Sus scrofa: one gene and its partners. The main gene of each other region encodes a partner of the protein of the gene in region 3 in a complex. Links are inferred from orthologs where the notes say so. Each region holds a gene or a part of one and is shown on either strand. Other genes may lie near its edges. The genes, in order: TADA2A, MBIP, SGF29 and KAT14.

Region 1 (4,136 bases), on a different chromosome or scaffold from region 3:
TCCATAAAAATTGCCACATTACTGGGCATTATCTATTATATACTATGTGTATTGCTTATTGTCTAAATATTGCTTATTGTCTACCTCCTCCACGATGAGGCAGAAACTTTGTTTTGTTCACCGAATTCCCAGCACCTAGAACTGGTATCTACTCATTAAAAATTTGATAAATGAAAATAGATTTCCAGGGTATATCAAATGTAAAACTACTTTATATTTTTTGAATGAAGTATAGAAAAATATCTAGAAGAATGTAAGGCAAAATGGTAACCATTTAACATGGTAGGAGCTGGTTTTCATTTTTTGTTCATGCAAATATTCTTTTTTTTTTAGAACGAACTTGTATGACTAAGAAATGAATAAAAAGGCCACACAGGCAGGTGTAAATGATTTCTCTAAGAGGTTGGGCAAATTGATGGAAGAAAGACTTCTAAATAGATGCATGAGCATAATGGCTAAGACAAACCACTGTTTGAATGCCCTTCCCCAACACCATCTAGCTGTGTGAACCCAAGTTATTTACAAGGTAGAGTCTAAAGGTCTTCACCTGGAAAATGGGGATGATAATATTACAAGTGTCTTTTCCATAAGGTTATTTTTGAAGATTAAATGAGACCATGTATGTAAACTCCTTTGTACAATGCCTGGCATGCAATAAATACTCGACAAATGGCAGCTATCATAATAATAATAATTAGCAGTAGTAACAAGAGATGTTGGGACATACCTAGCCCTCAAGACTGACATCAGAGTGGACCACCACATCCTCTCATCATCGCGCCTCAATTTGGGCACCTAAAGCCCAAAGAGAGGATGGTTTTTCCAAAGAAGATAATTTCGACGTTCCAGAAGCATCTGAATCAAACGTACCCCATGTACCCTTGAACCATTCAGGCAGTCTGGTTAATCCATGAGTAGCACTGCAAGACCCGGCCTCGAGGGGGGACCACCACTCGCCGTCCTTGGGCCCAGTCCCTCAGCCTCCATTTCCTTTGAGGCTGCAACAGGGGTGGCAGGAATGTTACAAAACGCAAAAGCGGGGCTGTACCGGCCCGCTCCAGCTCACCGCACTCTGGAGGGGTCAAACGGCAGCACGCATCCGCAAGTCTGCGGCGACGAGCAACGCGCCCCGAGGGAAAAGTGATTACTGGTCCGACTCAAAAGTCTGGCAAACTGCTCAGAGCCCCATCCTCCCAGGCCTCTGCTGGAGGCGGGCGGCGAGCTCTCGGCGAGGTCAGGGGCTGGAGCTGAGAGAGGGGAGGCGGCGAGCGCGCGCCACGCGGCGGGGCCGCGACGGCTGGGGCGGCGCCTGGGCGGAGGCGGCGAGCGCGCGGCCCGCTCGCGCCTGCGCCGCTCGGGAGCGAGCACGCAAAAGCCCGGGCGCGCGCACGGCTGGCGTTTCCTCGGCGCGGAAGAGGGGGACGCGGCGAGGTGAGGCACGAGGCGCTGCGGCACGGGTGGTGGCGTGGTGCGGCGCGAACCCCTCTCGCGGGACGAGGGGGAGAAGGCGTCCTCGAGGTTCCCCGAGGGTGGGGGAGGGCTGCGGACCCCAGCGGCGTCGGGGGCGAGAGGGTGAGTCGGCCCGACTGGCGCGAGGCGGGGGCCACGCCGTGCGGTGGGGGAGGGCGGCGCGTGCCCGGCCCGAGCCCTGGTGCCCCGCCCCGCCGCGAGCCTGGCGACTCCCGCCCCCTGGGCGGTCCTGCTGGGTTCCGGCCTCCGCTTTCCTGACTTTGCGTTGGAGGGCGTAATGCGGCTCACGACAGCGTATGGTTGATGTTACCTGTTGTTCTCAAGTAGGCCTTCCAAATAGATATTTCAGGTTCATTTTAGAGCTGTGCTTGTCTGAGCCTCCAGTAAAATGACTTGCCCAAGATCACAGTTAATAAGGAACAAAATGAGGCTTCGAATCTTGTTTGCAAAACTCCAAGCCTGCCCCTGTCCTCTGAACTGCAGTGAGTGAGTAATCTTCACGTCCCTTCCCTCCTCCCAGTAATTTCTTTGAACAAAGCAGATGTTAATTTGGAGCTAGCACCCAGCCTTTCGTGGGTATTAGCGTCAGAAATGTCTCCTGTGTGAAAAAAAGACGGGGAAAAAAAAGATTCTGCTTATTGCAGTATTGCACTTACAACGTGGAGTGTTCACGAGACTTTATATAAAGTTCCTTACTTGACTATCTCTAGTTGACCTCTGAAGTGACATTGCTATTCACTACGTCTAGGACATTGTGCCAGTAACACAATCTTTTAGCATTTCCTTTCCCTCCTTGAAAAAGCAACATGTCTCTGAAGGTTGTAAGGATTCAGAGATGATCCACATACAGTGGTACCACAGTACCTGGTATATGAGAAAAGTTCAATAAGTTTTGGCCATTATTTTATTATTAAGTGCATGATACCACTTACTAAACTCACTTTTCTTCAGACTCATTTTCCTGGGGCTAGACCAGAGGGAGAACCACCCCAACCTACCCTAAAAAAGACAAGTTCATTGACAGTGTTGTATATTCTTAATGATAAATTATTCTCCAAGCCAAAACTATCCAGTGAAAGAAGTCACTGCAGGAAAACTAAGGATGAATTAACTTTTTTGTAGAATTAGCATTTATTTGTCCATTACATTTTTGTTTATTGAGTTCTTTCTGTGTGGCATTGTGTATGGTACTTTAAGACATACAAATTTGTATTTGATGTAGTTCCTGTTTTCATTTAGGCTAGAAATGGGAAAAATATGCATCCATAAGTAATCTTCACAGAGCAGTGTGAAAAATGCCGGAGAAGGGATAGATAAAAAGCTATGGGGAGGAGTTCCCATCGGGGCTAAGTGGTAAAGAACCCGACTAGTATCTATGAGGTTGTGGGTTCAATCCCTGGTCTCATTCAGTGGGTTTAGGCATTGCCCTTGAGTAATGGTGTAGGTCACAGACATGGCTGGAATCCCACGTTGCTGTGGCATAGGCTGGCAGCTGCAGCTCTGATTCTGTCCTTCGCCTGGGACCCTCCATGTGCTTCAGGTGCAGCCCTAAATTAAAAAAAAAAAAAAAAAAAAAAAGCTATGGGAGGAGTTCCCACAGTGGTGCAATGGGTTAAGGATCTGACATTCCGAAGCTGAGTCGTAGGTCTCAGATGCAGCTTGGGTTTGATTCCTAGCCCTGGGAACTTGCATATCCTGAGAGTGTGGCTGCAAAAGGAAAAAAAAGCTATGGGAGTATAGAAGGTGATATTGGCTTAGTGTGAAATATGAGTTCATTTATGTCTTAATAAAGATACTTTGTACATGGTACTTAACTGTTAAATATTTGTTCAAAGAATAAATTAGTGAACAAAATTTGTCATAATAGATAGGGTTTTTTTAGTTTGTTGTTGTTGTTGCTATTTCTTGGGCCGCTCCCGAAGCATATGGAGGTTCCCAGGCTAGGGGTTGAATCGGAGCTGTAGCCACCGGCCTACACCAGAGCCACAGCAACTCAGGATCCGAGCCGCATCTGCAACCTACACCACAACTCACTGGGCAAGGGCAGGGACCGAACCCGCAGCCTCATGGTTCCTAGTCGGATTCGTTAACCACTGCGCCACGACGGGAACTCCATGGTTTTTTAGTTTTCTAGTGATAAAAGTTCATTCGTATTAAAGTATTTTTGAAAAGATAGAGAAATGGAAAAAAAAAAAAATTTGTGCCATTTTTGGGAATGAGTATCTCAACAACCAGAGCTCATGAACCAGATTCTTTGGCTAGTGAATGACTGAGCTCTAACTGCCCTCTGTCCTTGTATATCTTACAAGATTCAGGTTCTGTAAGAAGAGTTTTAGTTGCTTTAGCTGCTATGGGGGTGGGGGACGGAGTGTTATGATTTGCAACAACCTACTCCCCCAAAGCCGTGTGAAATGTGGGAGAGTCACTTTCCTTCCCTAAGGAAGGAGGGCTGAGGAGAGAAGTGATGCTGCACAGAGAGAACCAGTTGTTGCCTATTAGAAATATATAGCCTTTGTAGAGGGCTTATCATGGGCCAGGTGCCATGGTATATTATTTATGTGGATATTGATTATTTTAATCCTCACAACTCTAGGAAGTAGATATGATTGTATCATATTCATTTCCAGAGGAGGAAACAAGCTTATAGAGATAAAATAATTTGCTTA
Region 2 (4,300 bases), on a different chromosome or scaffold from region 3:
AAAACAAACAAACCAACCCTTTATACCTAGAAGAAAACAAATTATCTGAAACTGGCTGGTAATATGTTATAAAGCAAAAACTTCCAGTTACCCCATTAGAATTATTCTCTAACAAGAGAACTAGAGGCCAGGAAAATACCTTAACATTGCAAAGACTCTTGGATTTAGGTTAACACGGGGAAGAGTAGCTTGAATGGGAAGAAGGTTGCTCAATTTGGGATTAGATATTGTGAAATCTGTTTCTGGATGTCTCTAGGCATAGGCTGGATTATAAACTCTATATCTTGCTGTGAACAAGGGAGCGGACGAGATTACTTAAGATCCTGTCAAGCCTGCTGATCCTTGGAAATGAAAGCCTAATTAAGAGGCTCCCTAGGGACAGGTCAAAGGCATTCTTTTATCTCTACTGCCCCTAATCCAAGTTCCTTGATGGTTTATTCCTCCCCTTTCATTCAGCCTACTCTAAAACTGAAGAATACACATTGTGCAAGTTTCCAACTCTGCTTCTCCTACTGTAAACGCATTAGACAATTAGAATTAAGAATTTTAAATCTTTCATCCCTCATATCTAAACATGATGTTTATTTTTCAAGTGGTTTTGAATAGAGTTTAACATTAAGCATTCGTCTAAACTTTTTTTTTTTTTTCAATTGGACAACAAAATTTTCAATGCTTGACCCCGGAATACTACAGAGCCCTTCAGATATCTTTTAATACAGTTATCTGGATAAATAATAACTTGTTGAATTTTAATTCGGATTTATCTTTATTTTCAAAGATGGTGTTCACGCAATTACTTATTTGGGTTAAATTCCTGTTGGAATCATGTTGACATTGTTTTCTTTGAAACAGTTTTAGATGAGTGTGTATACCATATCACTCAGAGAACAGCAACTATGCAAGTTTTAAAACTTGACAGAATTATTTTGCAGATTTAAAGTAGTATTCCCTTGATAGTAAATGAGGCATAAAAGAGGGGTATTTTGGGGGGGAGGTGGTTATATCCTCCTCTTTCTCTCATGAAAAAAAAGTGATGTTAAATTGTGTATAGACGAAAATGTTCTACCCAATTATGACAATTCTGTGTGTTTTCAGTGTTTAGAAATATGTGTGGATCCACTGCGTCCCTGACCAGCGATCTTTCTAAAGTGCCGTGGTAAAATCTCAACTTTAATTTGGTACTAAAACTCTAACATTTAACTACAAGTTTTCTCTTAGCAACACTCATAATCAACATCTAAGCGTCAAGCTAAGCTTCAAGAAGCTAACTCTCATTAGATAACGACTCCAAATCACCATCTCAAATATTGCAGCAAGCCAAGCCCAGGTTGGCAATCTCTTGCTCACGGTCCTTGAAGGAATGCTGTAGTTGCACCTTATTGGTGCACATGCTTGTCAGTCATGTAGGGAAGGTGGGGTCTTACAGTCTCGCTCTAAATGAGACGCAGTGTGTTTACATCATCGGGGAGCGACGAAGGCAGGAGAGGGAGGGGTGTGTTGTGAGCACACCTTGGTGCTGGTGGGGGTGGCCTACGAAAGTGTCATGGCTGCCGCCGCTGAGCTTAGTCGCGCGACCCTCGGTGACAGGAGCATGGAGCGGAGCTGCAGCCCCAACCTCTCCCAAGAGGTGGTCTGCGAAGTCTTTCGCTCCTTGCATACCCTTGCTGGACAAGTGAGTGGTGGGCTTTGGGAGTAGGGATCTGGGAACCGTCCGGCCCCTCCCCCTCTCCTTTCTCCGGCGGAGGCGGGGGCGGCGGAGGCCTGCGGGGTGTGGGACCCGGCCCAGAATAGCCGAGGCTGGGGGAGGAGCTCGGGCCCGGCCGCCTGTGGTCTAAGTGAGGCTGGCCGCGCGTGGGTTAGTTCAAGACCGGTTGCAGGCTAGATTTCTTTGCAACTCTTCTCCCCAAGAGCGAATGAGGATAGTGTAAGTGAAACCCCGCTAGGAGAGAAACAAGCTCGAAGAGAATGCGTGCGGAAAAGCTGTGAGGGTTTGGGAGGCGCCTAGCGCTGTGGATCCCTTTTCCTCCAATTCATTCATTATAGAAATTGATAGGTTAGTCTACGGCCTGAGATTTCTGGAAAAGCTCCCTCTCCGCCTTTTTTGGGTGATTTACCGTTAGGAGTCAGTTGGGTTTGTTTATTTCTTCTTTCTTTCTGGCTGTTGCTTGCATCTCTTCCCCTTTCAAAACGGGAAGGAAGAGAAAAGGAATTAATTCAACCACTTCTAGTGTTAAGTTGGATAAGTTATCCCTGGTTTATACTGTTTGCATCACAACTGTTGACAAGTTATTAAATATTAACTAGCTTAACTGGCTGATAAATAGCTTTTGTAGAAATATCATTATAGAATCGAACAAATAAAAGTGCTCTTTACTCTGTTCCAGTGAAGTCACTATTTCGTTTCATGATGTAAGATGTAAAGGAAATTTAAAATGCGAACTTGAAAATACCGTTTGTCTGCTTTTAAAAGGAAATCTTTTTTTAAATCTTAGATAGGATTAGGTATTTGTGTGGAAGATAATGGTAACATCCTTTATGAAAATAGAGCGTTTGATTTGTGAAAATTACTTTTAAAAGCCTTCGGTGGATGGATAATCAGTTTTTTAAAAGGTTATTTCAGTATTTTTAAAAATTCTAATATATTCTGACTTAAAAAGAGTATTACTCAAAATTAAATACACAATTTGGTGTAAGCGAATAATTATCAATAGAATCGGCTAAAAGAGTTGTTTTTCAAGGACTTAAATATTTTTTTGAGACAGGGACATTAATATTTCAGTGTCAAGACTTAAAACCTCTAAATGGTTTAAAAGTTTGAGAACTTTCTATGATGTGACTTTGGAACTTTAAGGTTTTTTTTTTTTTATATCCTAATGTCAAGATGAAAGGTTAATGCTCACCTGTAGTTTACAGACTTCCCCCCACTGATGAGATTTTTTTAAATAACATTAAGAAATAATTTAAACATTTTTGAAACAGTTGGCATACTGAATTTTTAAAACTTATTTTAACATTTTAAACATTCAACTATTCTGTAGGAAAAGTATGATTACAAATTATTTATGTCACCTCAAAAATGTTTAAATATTTGGTGAGTTTTATTGACAGTGAAGGAACCATTTATACAAGTGTTGGGGAAAAAAAATCATCTCATCAATTAACTGCTAGCCATTTTGATAATACTCTATATTTTGAGATGTATAAAGATAAGGATGAAAGCCAGAGTACTATACTTATAAAATTGCCCCTAGTGGGAATCATTATTTTTTTTTTGAAACTGGTTTAAGGAATTTCTTTAACTGTATGTTGTAAAATGCCTAGTTCATTCTATATAGTATCATTGTATTATTAGCTCTCCTCAATAGGAAACATAAAATTGAATGTTTAAACAGTATTTTCTATCCTAGATTTCCAGTTTACTAATTTTAACTTTATTACTTGCCTCTGGATTGTCCATTTTACAAGCTGAAGAGTTATTTATTATTAGCTTGGATTTTCATATTTATAAAGTTTTTACTGAAATGCATATTTTAAATGGTCCATATTAATGGCTGACTTATACATTTTCGAGTGAATGTTTTAGAGTTACAAGTTCTATAGCCTAAAAATGCATAGAATTCATATTACTAATAGGGAATTTGTTGAATAATAATTGAATGTATTGGGATAGTTTTAAAGTTAATTTTTAATGTTGTTATATGGTTTTCTTAAAAGACCAAGTATCTTGAATTTCACTTGAAAGCTTACATAATTCTGCTGTATTGAAATGAGACTATGATCCAAACATAAATTAATTTCTATAAGTTACTATTTGGTAAATTTGTTGCTTTGTCTTGGTTGAGGATTTGCATTATCCCAAAATGTATATATAAATTTGTTATAACCAACTATAGATCTCTTTGGAACTGTGAAAGTATAGTTTACTTTCATACATAAGTTGTTGTCTAACAAAATCTTTATAGGCATTAAATTAATTAAGATTAATGTAGCAATCTTAATGTAAAACTTTAGTTAAATTAATATAAACTCATCTGCTAGTGCAGCCTACACAAAACTTAGTTCCTTATGCTTGTCTGATATGGACTTTAAATATTCCTGGTCAAAGGGTGGAAATTTCTTTCATATAGCATTCAATATAGTGCCTTTGTGGGAACTTCATATCTTTTCAGTTTTTTGTACAGTGATTCATTCATCTTTTTGCTATATTGTAATCACAATTCATAAGATCTATATTTGAACTAAAGTAATATATCTTTATTTTTAGCAAAGATGACTAATTTTAAATAAATGATTTCTGGAA
Region 3 (2,696 bases):
CTGCGGAGGTCAGGAGTCCATCCACACGGGAGAGTTTTTTTAACTTTGTTGTTGAATTAAAACATACTTCACTTCTGTGTTCATATCGAAAAGAACACAATGAACGGAGAGCTCACTGCATTTTCACTCACTGAACTGACCCTCACCCAGAGCAGGAACTGGAACATGACCAGCTTCTCAGAACCCCAGCTTTTGCCCTCTCTAGTTCCTTCCCCTTCCAGGGCCGCCCTGGAGCTGGGTGGTCTCTCACCCTCAGGATCTAGCGGAAGAGGCGGGGCGCCACCTGGGCCCTTGCTGCGAACTTGGGCGGTGGGACTTCAGGCTGAGCCCTGACAGCCCCATGCAGGCAGGCGAGGGTGGGCCCCGGCGGCCCCCTGTCCCTGCCAGCTCAGGGCTCCCTTCCTCCCCACAGCGGCCAAGATCGCCGGCCTGTACAATGACTCGGAGCCCCCTCGGAAGACCATGCGCCGGGGGGTGTTGATGACCCTGCTGCAGCAGTCAGCCATGACCTTGCCCCTGTGGATCGGGAAGCCTGGTGACAAGTGAGGGCAGGACGGGGCGGGGTGGGAGGGCAGGCCGGCGAGCGGCCAGAACTAACATCTCATTGCACCCTTAGGCCCCCACCCCTCTGTGGGGCCATTCCAGCTTCTGGGGACTATGTGGCCAAACCTGGAGATAAGGTGGCTGCCCGAGTGAAGGCCGTGGACGGGGATGAGCAGTGGATCCTGGCCGAAGTGGTCAGTTACAGCCATGCCACCAACAAGTGAGTGGATGCCCAGCCCTGGGGCTGCTCTCCTGTCACCACACCCGCCGGGGCTGCCAATGGTACCCGTCTGCAGGGTGGGGGAAAGCTGCTTCTCCCGGGCTCCTTCCCCTCCCAGCCGCCGCCTCCCCTTCCTGACGGCTTCCTGCCCGGCTGCACAGCTCCCTGCATCCTGCTTTCCTTTTGTTCACCCACAGGTATGAGGTAGATGACATTGACGAGGAAGGCAAAGAGTGAGTGTGCTGGCAGCGGGGTGCCCTGGAAGCCTGGGGGGCAGCCAGGCTGCTGGGATGGGGTCCCCACCTGGCCGGGGGCTGACCTAAGGCCTCGTCCCCTAGGAGACACACACTGAGCCGCCGGCGGATCATCCCACTGCCCCAGTGGAAGGCCAACCCGGAGACGGACCCCGAGGCCTTGTTCCAGAAGGAGCAGCTGGTGCTGGCCCTGTATCCCCAGACCACCTGCTTCTACCGTGCCCTGATCCACACACCCCCACAGCGGGTAAGGCGTCTCCCCCGGGTCCAGGAACCGGGACCGGCTGACCTGACCGGCCACAGGGTCATCTTCCCACTGCCTTCCCCCTCATCCTCCCTCACAGCCTCTCTGCCCTTTCTTTTCTGCTTGGTCCGCCCTGGGACTCCCGGGGGGAGCGCCAGCCAGTCCTCCTCTTTGCAGCCCCAACGGGACCTGACCCTTCCTGGTCCAAGCTCGCTTTTGTGTTGAGATGGGAAGGCCCAGGGCCTGGCTTGGGACCCTTGACCCTTTCCTTGGCTGACCTGCTCTCCCTAATGCTCTTGACCACGTTGGGACGCGCTGGTCACCCATCACCCAATGGCAATTTAAAGGATGTTCTCCCCTCTTCCTCCAGGACCCCTGCCTGCTTTCCTCTAGATCGTTCTTGGTTCCTTTAACACAGGCTCCCCGCAAGACAGCGGACCCTCTAGCTGGCCTCACCCGTTTAGGTCGAGAGTCTCCCTTCTCCCTGCTCCTTGTCCCCTGCCCGCGGCCCTTTGTTGCGAGGAAAGAGCTCGGTGGTAGCAGGGACCAGGTTCAAGCATCCAGACTTCTCCAGTGACAAGGATGGGAGAGGCTGGGGGCCCATACACCAAAGGTTCCTATCGGTCTAGGCTTGGGGAGCCTTGCCTGCAGGTCTCTGACGAGTCCGATGTCTGTCCCCGCCCACAGCCCCAGGATGACTATTCAGTCCTGTTTGAAGACACCTCCTATGCAGATGGTTACTCCCCCCCGCTCAATGTGGCCCAGCGGTACGTGGTGGCTTGTAAGGAGCCCAAGAAAAAGTGAAGCAGCCAGTCAGACTCTCAGTCGCCTGACACCCTAAATCGGGGGATGCAACACAAGATTCTGTGACCAAATAAATACTCTTCCTCGTGTCTCCCGGGGTTTACTTCTCCAGACCCCCTTCCCCTCCCCATACAGGGCGAGCTGCAGGCCTCTTGGGGGTCGGCCTCATTTGCTCCCAGCAGGCATTTACCCTTTTAGCTCAGGGTTGCTCTTTGCTTCCAATGAAGGCTCTCTATTGAACACACATCAGATTTGATTTATTCACCTTTTTGGGCCACAGCAACAGCATGCACAAGTTTATAGGCCACACAGCAGTGACAACACATGATCTTTACCCCGCTGAGCCGCCAGGAAACTCCCAGATTTTATCCTTGAGGCTCCAGCCGGGCTTGCTTCACACCCCTCCTCCGTGAACGCCACCACTCACAGCTCCGAGCGGAAGCGGAGGTTACAGCCTGCCATCTTCTCAGCATAGTCGGCCTCAAAGCGCTCGTTCTGGGCCACTGTGAAGGTGCTTTTCCAATCTCCAGTGATGCCTGGGGAGGGGGCAAGGGTGGGGGGTAGGAGCGGGGTCTGGGCCACAGAGGAGGCCCCAAGTCCGGCTCCAGCTGCAGCCCTTGACCCGTGGCTC
Region 4 (4,323 bases), on a different chromosome or scaffold from region 3:
TGGAGTTCCCAGATGGCTCAGCAGGTTAAGGATCCGGTATTGTCACTGTACTAGCTCCGGTCTGATCCCTGGCCTGGGAATTTCCACATGCTGTTGGTATAGCCAAAAAAAAAGTTGAGTATTTTGTGACTTATAACCTATAAAATGTTAGTTATTAGTAACGACTGAATTGATGCTTTTGGACGTCTCATCTTAGATGCCAGGTCCATGTTCCGGAATATTCTTCTTGTCTTTTTAGTGCTTATCAAAGCCACAACCATTGATGGGCCGTTATTTTTGCCTCTGCTGGTAGTGTTCTTTTTTTTCCCCCTCTCTCTCCATTGTGTAATTGATAGTAATTCTGTATAATTTTTACTTTTTCTCTTAACCTAATAGAAGAAGCTGAGTTCTTTCTTGTATCTTTACAGTTGTTTAAATTTTAATAATTATTTTTTTCTGTGATATTTATTGCTTAGCTTGCCAATAGGAAGGTAGTTCATAGTCACTCAGGTAACTCTCATCAAGTTTTTAGAGCATCACATATCAACTAAACTTGTAAAATTCAGGTGGGGCAGTTTTTTTAAAAAAAATATTTCTTATTTGGAGTTCCCGTCGTGGCGCAGTGGTTAACGAATCCTACTAGGAACCATGAGGTTTCGGGTTTGATCCCGGACCTTGCCCAGTGGGTTAAGGATCCGGCATTGCTGTGGCTCTGGCGTAGGCCGGCAGCTACAGCTCTGATTAGACCCCTAGCCTGGGAACCTCCATATGCCATGGGAAGCGGCCCTAGAAAAGGCAAAAAAGACAAAAAAAAAAAAAAATTATTTCTCATTAAATTATATTTAATTTAGATTTTCATGCTAAACGGTGAGGAATTTCTTAAAACATGATAAGAAGTCTGTAATAATACCATAGCACTCTGCCAAATTAATTTGATGGTTTCTTTACTACATCATACTTACACAGAGGAGTTCCCGTTGTGGCTCACCAGAAACGAATCTGACTGGTATCCATGAGGACGCAGGTTTGATTGCTGGTGGGTTAAGGATCTGGTGTTGCAGTGAGCTGTGGTGTTGGTCGCAGATGCAGTGCAGATCTGGTATTGCTGTGGTTGTGGCTATAGTTCTGATTTGGCCCCTAGCCTGGGAACCTCCATATGCTGCAGGTGCAGCCCTAAAAAGCCAAAAAAAAAAAAAAAAAAAAGACACGTTACACTTATGCAGAAAATTAAAATAGTAATTGGGTACTTGGAATCTAAAAGTTTGAAGTGTATTTTGGTAACACTGTTTTTGGATTTGAATGGCACAGGGATGGGAACCACCTGTTCAGGGTTTTACTGAAATCTGTTTCTTACACTTTTAGAGGCTTCGTGACGGAGTGATCAGAGACATTGAGAGGCAAAGTCGGAAAAAAGAAAACATTCGTCTCCTGGGAGAACAGATTCTTCTGACTGAGCAACTTCAAGCAGAAAGAGAGAAGATGGTGTTGGCAAAAGGATCTCAAAACACATGACTTAAAATGCATGTGAAATATGGATGGAATAGACAGCATTAAGTGTGTGTGTGTGAATGATGGAGAACAGCTTATTGAAATCTTCAGCCTGTGTTTTTGGTCACTGTCCTTTTAAACTTGATTAGAAAATGGACAATGGATCATGTGTTCTAAGTAATTGCTTTAAGAGCCTTTTGTATCTGAGTAGAGGTGGGCAGATGATTTTCTGAGAGTTTCTGTTTGTATGGTCAGTGAGGAGCCCATTTAAGCTTGGTGTCCAGAGCTTAGGATTGTTCCTGGGAGCACTCTGAACCTTCAGGAAGAGGGGGATGGAGACTAACATCCACCTGGGCAGTTTGATCAGTCGGCATGATGATGAAGCCACAAGAACGTCCACATCAGAAGGGCTGGAGGAGGGGGAGGTGGAGGGGGAGACCCTCCTGATCGTGGAGTCGGAGGACCAGGCGTCTGTGGACTTGTCTCACGACCAGAGCGGGGATTCCCTCAACAGTGACGAAGGGGACATGTCGTGGATGGAGGAGCAGCTGTCCTACTTCTGCGACAAGTGCCAAAAGTGGATCCCAGCCAGTAAGGAGCCTCTCAATTCCTTTGCGTTATCAGTTCCTGTGGGAAGGTTTGCTTTTCTAACCTGGGAAAGCAGTGTGAATGTAACATAGACCTAAATAAAAAGCTAACAGTTGGGAGTTCCCATCATGGCGCAGCGGAAACGAATCTGGCTAGGAACCATGAGGTTTCGGGTTCGATCCCTGGCTTCCCTCAGTGGCTTGAGGATCCAGCTTTGCTGTGAGGTGTGGTGTAGGTCGCAGGTTCGGCTCGGATCCTGTGTTGCTGTGGCTGTGGTGTAGGCTGGCAGCTACAGTTCCAATTAGACCCCTCGTGTGGGAACCTCCATGTGCTGCGGGGGCAGCCCTGAAGAGACCAAAAAAAAAAAAAAAAAAAAAAAAGCTAACAGTTATATTTGTTATTAGTTTAGCTGATTACAAATTTATGTTAAATAGACACATTTGTCAGCCTCTGATCACGTTGTTAAGTTAATGTTCTTGATTGTAACCCAATAAAAATGAGAAAATGGGAAATCCTGTGTTAAATTCAGAGATAGCCACATTTTTCTATCAAGATCATGTAATTGTGGGGCCAAATTATAAGACCAGTGTAGAGCTGAAGTTCAGGCTCATAAAAATGACTCTGGTGATATTTAACTTACACGGCCAGTGACTTGCTATTGTATGCTGATGGAAGGTCGGAATTAGCAGATTGAGAGTCTTACGCCTTTTTCTAGGGTGGCTTTCTACTTGCTGGCCTTCTTGATCTGCTGACAGTAGATGCACACATGTGCTTTCCTAACAGCTCACTTTTTCAGCTGTGAGCTTCCAGCTCTCAAGGAGTGTGCTCTGCCGGGCATCAGAGCTCTTACCAAACAGGATTTTCCACTAGGCCGAGACTAGTAAAGACATATGTACTAGAGAAATACTTGTGCAATAGAATTTGTAACTAGGTCAGAGAAGTTTATGTATATGCATGTATGTCTGTATCATTGTGAAGCAGGCCATTTTCTGCTGTGTGGAAATGTTTTGGATTCAACTCTTCACATTCGTAATTACTGTTAATAAATTGATAGCATTTTCACCAAAAGCAAACCCAAAATTGACTACATTTTAGCTAGTTTCTGCTTTTGAGCTGTCTCTGCTTATAAATTCAGGGTTCTGCCTAAGAATGTTTCCCATTGTCTTTGCAGCATTTTCTGCCCTTCCTGATGAGGCCCCTGCTAACTTCTCCAGCCTCACTCTTTAGTGTCCACCTATCTGCACATGGAAACACAACTTTGCAGTTAGAGTGAGCCTTTAATTCCCCATGAGCAGTTGCAGTTCTTTCTTCCCCCCAGGACTTCGCACACACAAACGTCCTCTGTGGAATATGTCTCTACAGCTTATGTCCCCCCACCTTCCCCACCCCGGCCCAGTCTCACACACACAAGCATCTCTTTTCGCCTGCCAATTTTGGCCATCCTTCAGGTCCCTGTCGGCCCCACTTCTAGCTCTCCTGTCTTCCCGATGTAGGTGGGCACCTCTTATGTGTCCTCCTATTGCCTCCTGCATGCATCACAGCGACTGCGGGGGTTTCTGTTTCTTCTAGAGCACCGGATCACCTGGGGAACTTCAAAAACTGCACTGCTTCCAGGGCTTGATTTATTTTGTGTGCAGTAGGCCCTGGGCATATTTAAAACAAGACAACCCCCGGGTGGTTCTGATGTTCAGTGAGGGTGGAGCCCTGCTGAGCTGCTCTGATTCCCTGCTTGCTCCTTTGTAGCCCTCAGACTTTGTAAGCTCAGGATCTGGCATCATATCTGTGTTGTGTGTTATGTTACAGGCTCCCAGCCTAGACCCTGGCTCAGTGAGAGCTCAGATATTTTCTGGAAGAAAGTGTGAAGAGACCTATAGGAATCTGGAATGCTAACGGTTGGAATAGCCAGTGAGAACAATCTTACCTGCTTTTCCAGGCTCTTCTGAAAGTTGGGGAACCACAGAAATACCTGAGTGGACATGCACCTGCTGTTAGATGAATAAAAATCTCCCTTCCCGACCCTGACCCTGCAGAAAAGAAAGGGAAAAACACAGCCTGGAAACTTGAAAAATAGTTGATAAATTGATTCAAGCTTTGGGTTACTTCTGCTCTGGACAGACGTGTGATGTGCCTTTTGTTTTTCTCCTAGGTCAGCTGAGGGAACAGCTCAGTTACCTTAAGGGCGATAATTTTTTTAGGTTTACTTGTTCTGATTGCTCGGAAGATGGCAAGGAGCAGTATGAGAGGCTGAAGCTGACCTGGCAGCAAGTG

The links.
Region 1: SGF29 (region 3) and TADA2A share a complex: the UniProt entries of both Homo sapiens proteins name them as parts of the ADA2A-containing complex. The link is inferred for Sus scrofa from reciprocal best matches to the Homo sapiens genes SGF29 and TADA2A.
Region 2: SGF29 (region 3) and MBIP share a complex: the UniProt entries of both Homo sapiens proteins name them as parts of the ADA2A-containing complex. The link is inferred for Sus scrofa from reciprocal best matches to the Homo sapiens genes SGF29 and MBIP.
Region 4: SGF29 (region 3) and KAT14 share a complex: the UniProt entries of both Homo sapiens proteins name them as parts of the ADA2A-containing complex. The link is inferred for Sus scrofa from reciprocal best matches to the Homo sapiens genes SGF29 and KAT14.

What each region holds. Positions count from the first base shown.
Region 1 is NC_010454.4:38,873,825-38,877,960, forward strand, and holds the start of TADA2A (transcriptional adapter 2-alpha), read left to right. Parts: upstream 1-1,331; 5' UTR 1,332-1,431; intron 1,432-1,432; exon of another isoform or gene 1,433-1,572; intron 1,573-1,756; exon of another isoform or gene 1,757-1,956; intron 1,957-4,136. Other genes in the region: ACACA (acetyl-CoA carboxylase 1), read right to left, coding at 728-747. UniProt on the Homo sapiens protein: Component of the ATAC complex, a complex with histone acetyltransferase activity on histones H3 and H4. Required for the function of some acidic activation domains, which activate transcription from a distant site. Binds double-stranded DNA.
Region 2 is NC_010449.5:63,657,765-63,662,064, forward strand, and holds the start of MBIP (MAP3K12-binding inhibitory protein 1), read left to right. Parts: upstream 1-1,458; 5' UTR 1,459-1,543; coding exon 1,544-1,672; intron 1,673-4,300. UniProt on the Homo sapiens protein: Inhibits the MAP3K12 activity to induce the activation of the JNK/SAPK pathway. Component of the ATAC complex, a complex with histone acetyltransferase activity on histones H3 and H4.
Region 3 is NC_010445.4:18,354,258-18,356,953, reverse strand, and holds the end of SGF29 (SAGA-associated factor 29), read left to right. Parts: intron 1-412; coding exon 413-542; intron 543-616; coding exon 617-763; intron 764-960; coding exon 961-996; intron 997-1,101; coding exon 1,102-1,264; intron 1,265-1,948; coding exon 1,949-2,065; 3' UTR 2,066-2,156; downstream 2,157-2,696. UniProt on the Homo sapiens protein: Chromatin reader component of some histone acetyltransferase (HAT) SAGA-type complexes like the TFTC-HAT, ATAC or STAGA complexes.
Region 4 is NC_010459.5:26,483,495-26,487,817, forward strand, and holds the start of KAT14 (cysteine-rich protein 2-binding protein), read left to right. Parts: upstream 1-1,491; 5' UTR 1,492-1,799; coding exon 1,800-2,058; intron 2,059-4,201; coding exon 4,202-4,320; intron 4,321-4,323. Other genes in the region: protein PET117 homolog, mitochondrial, read left to right, coding at 1,342-1,491. UniProt on the Homo sapiens protein: Component of the ATAC complex, a complex with histone acetyltransferase activity on histones H3 and H4. May function as a scaffold for the ATAC complex to promote ATAC complex stability. Has also weak histone acetyltransferase activity toward histone H4.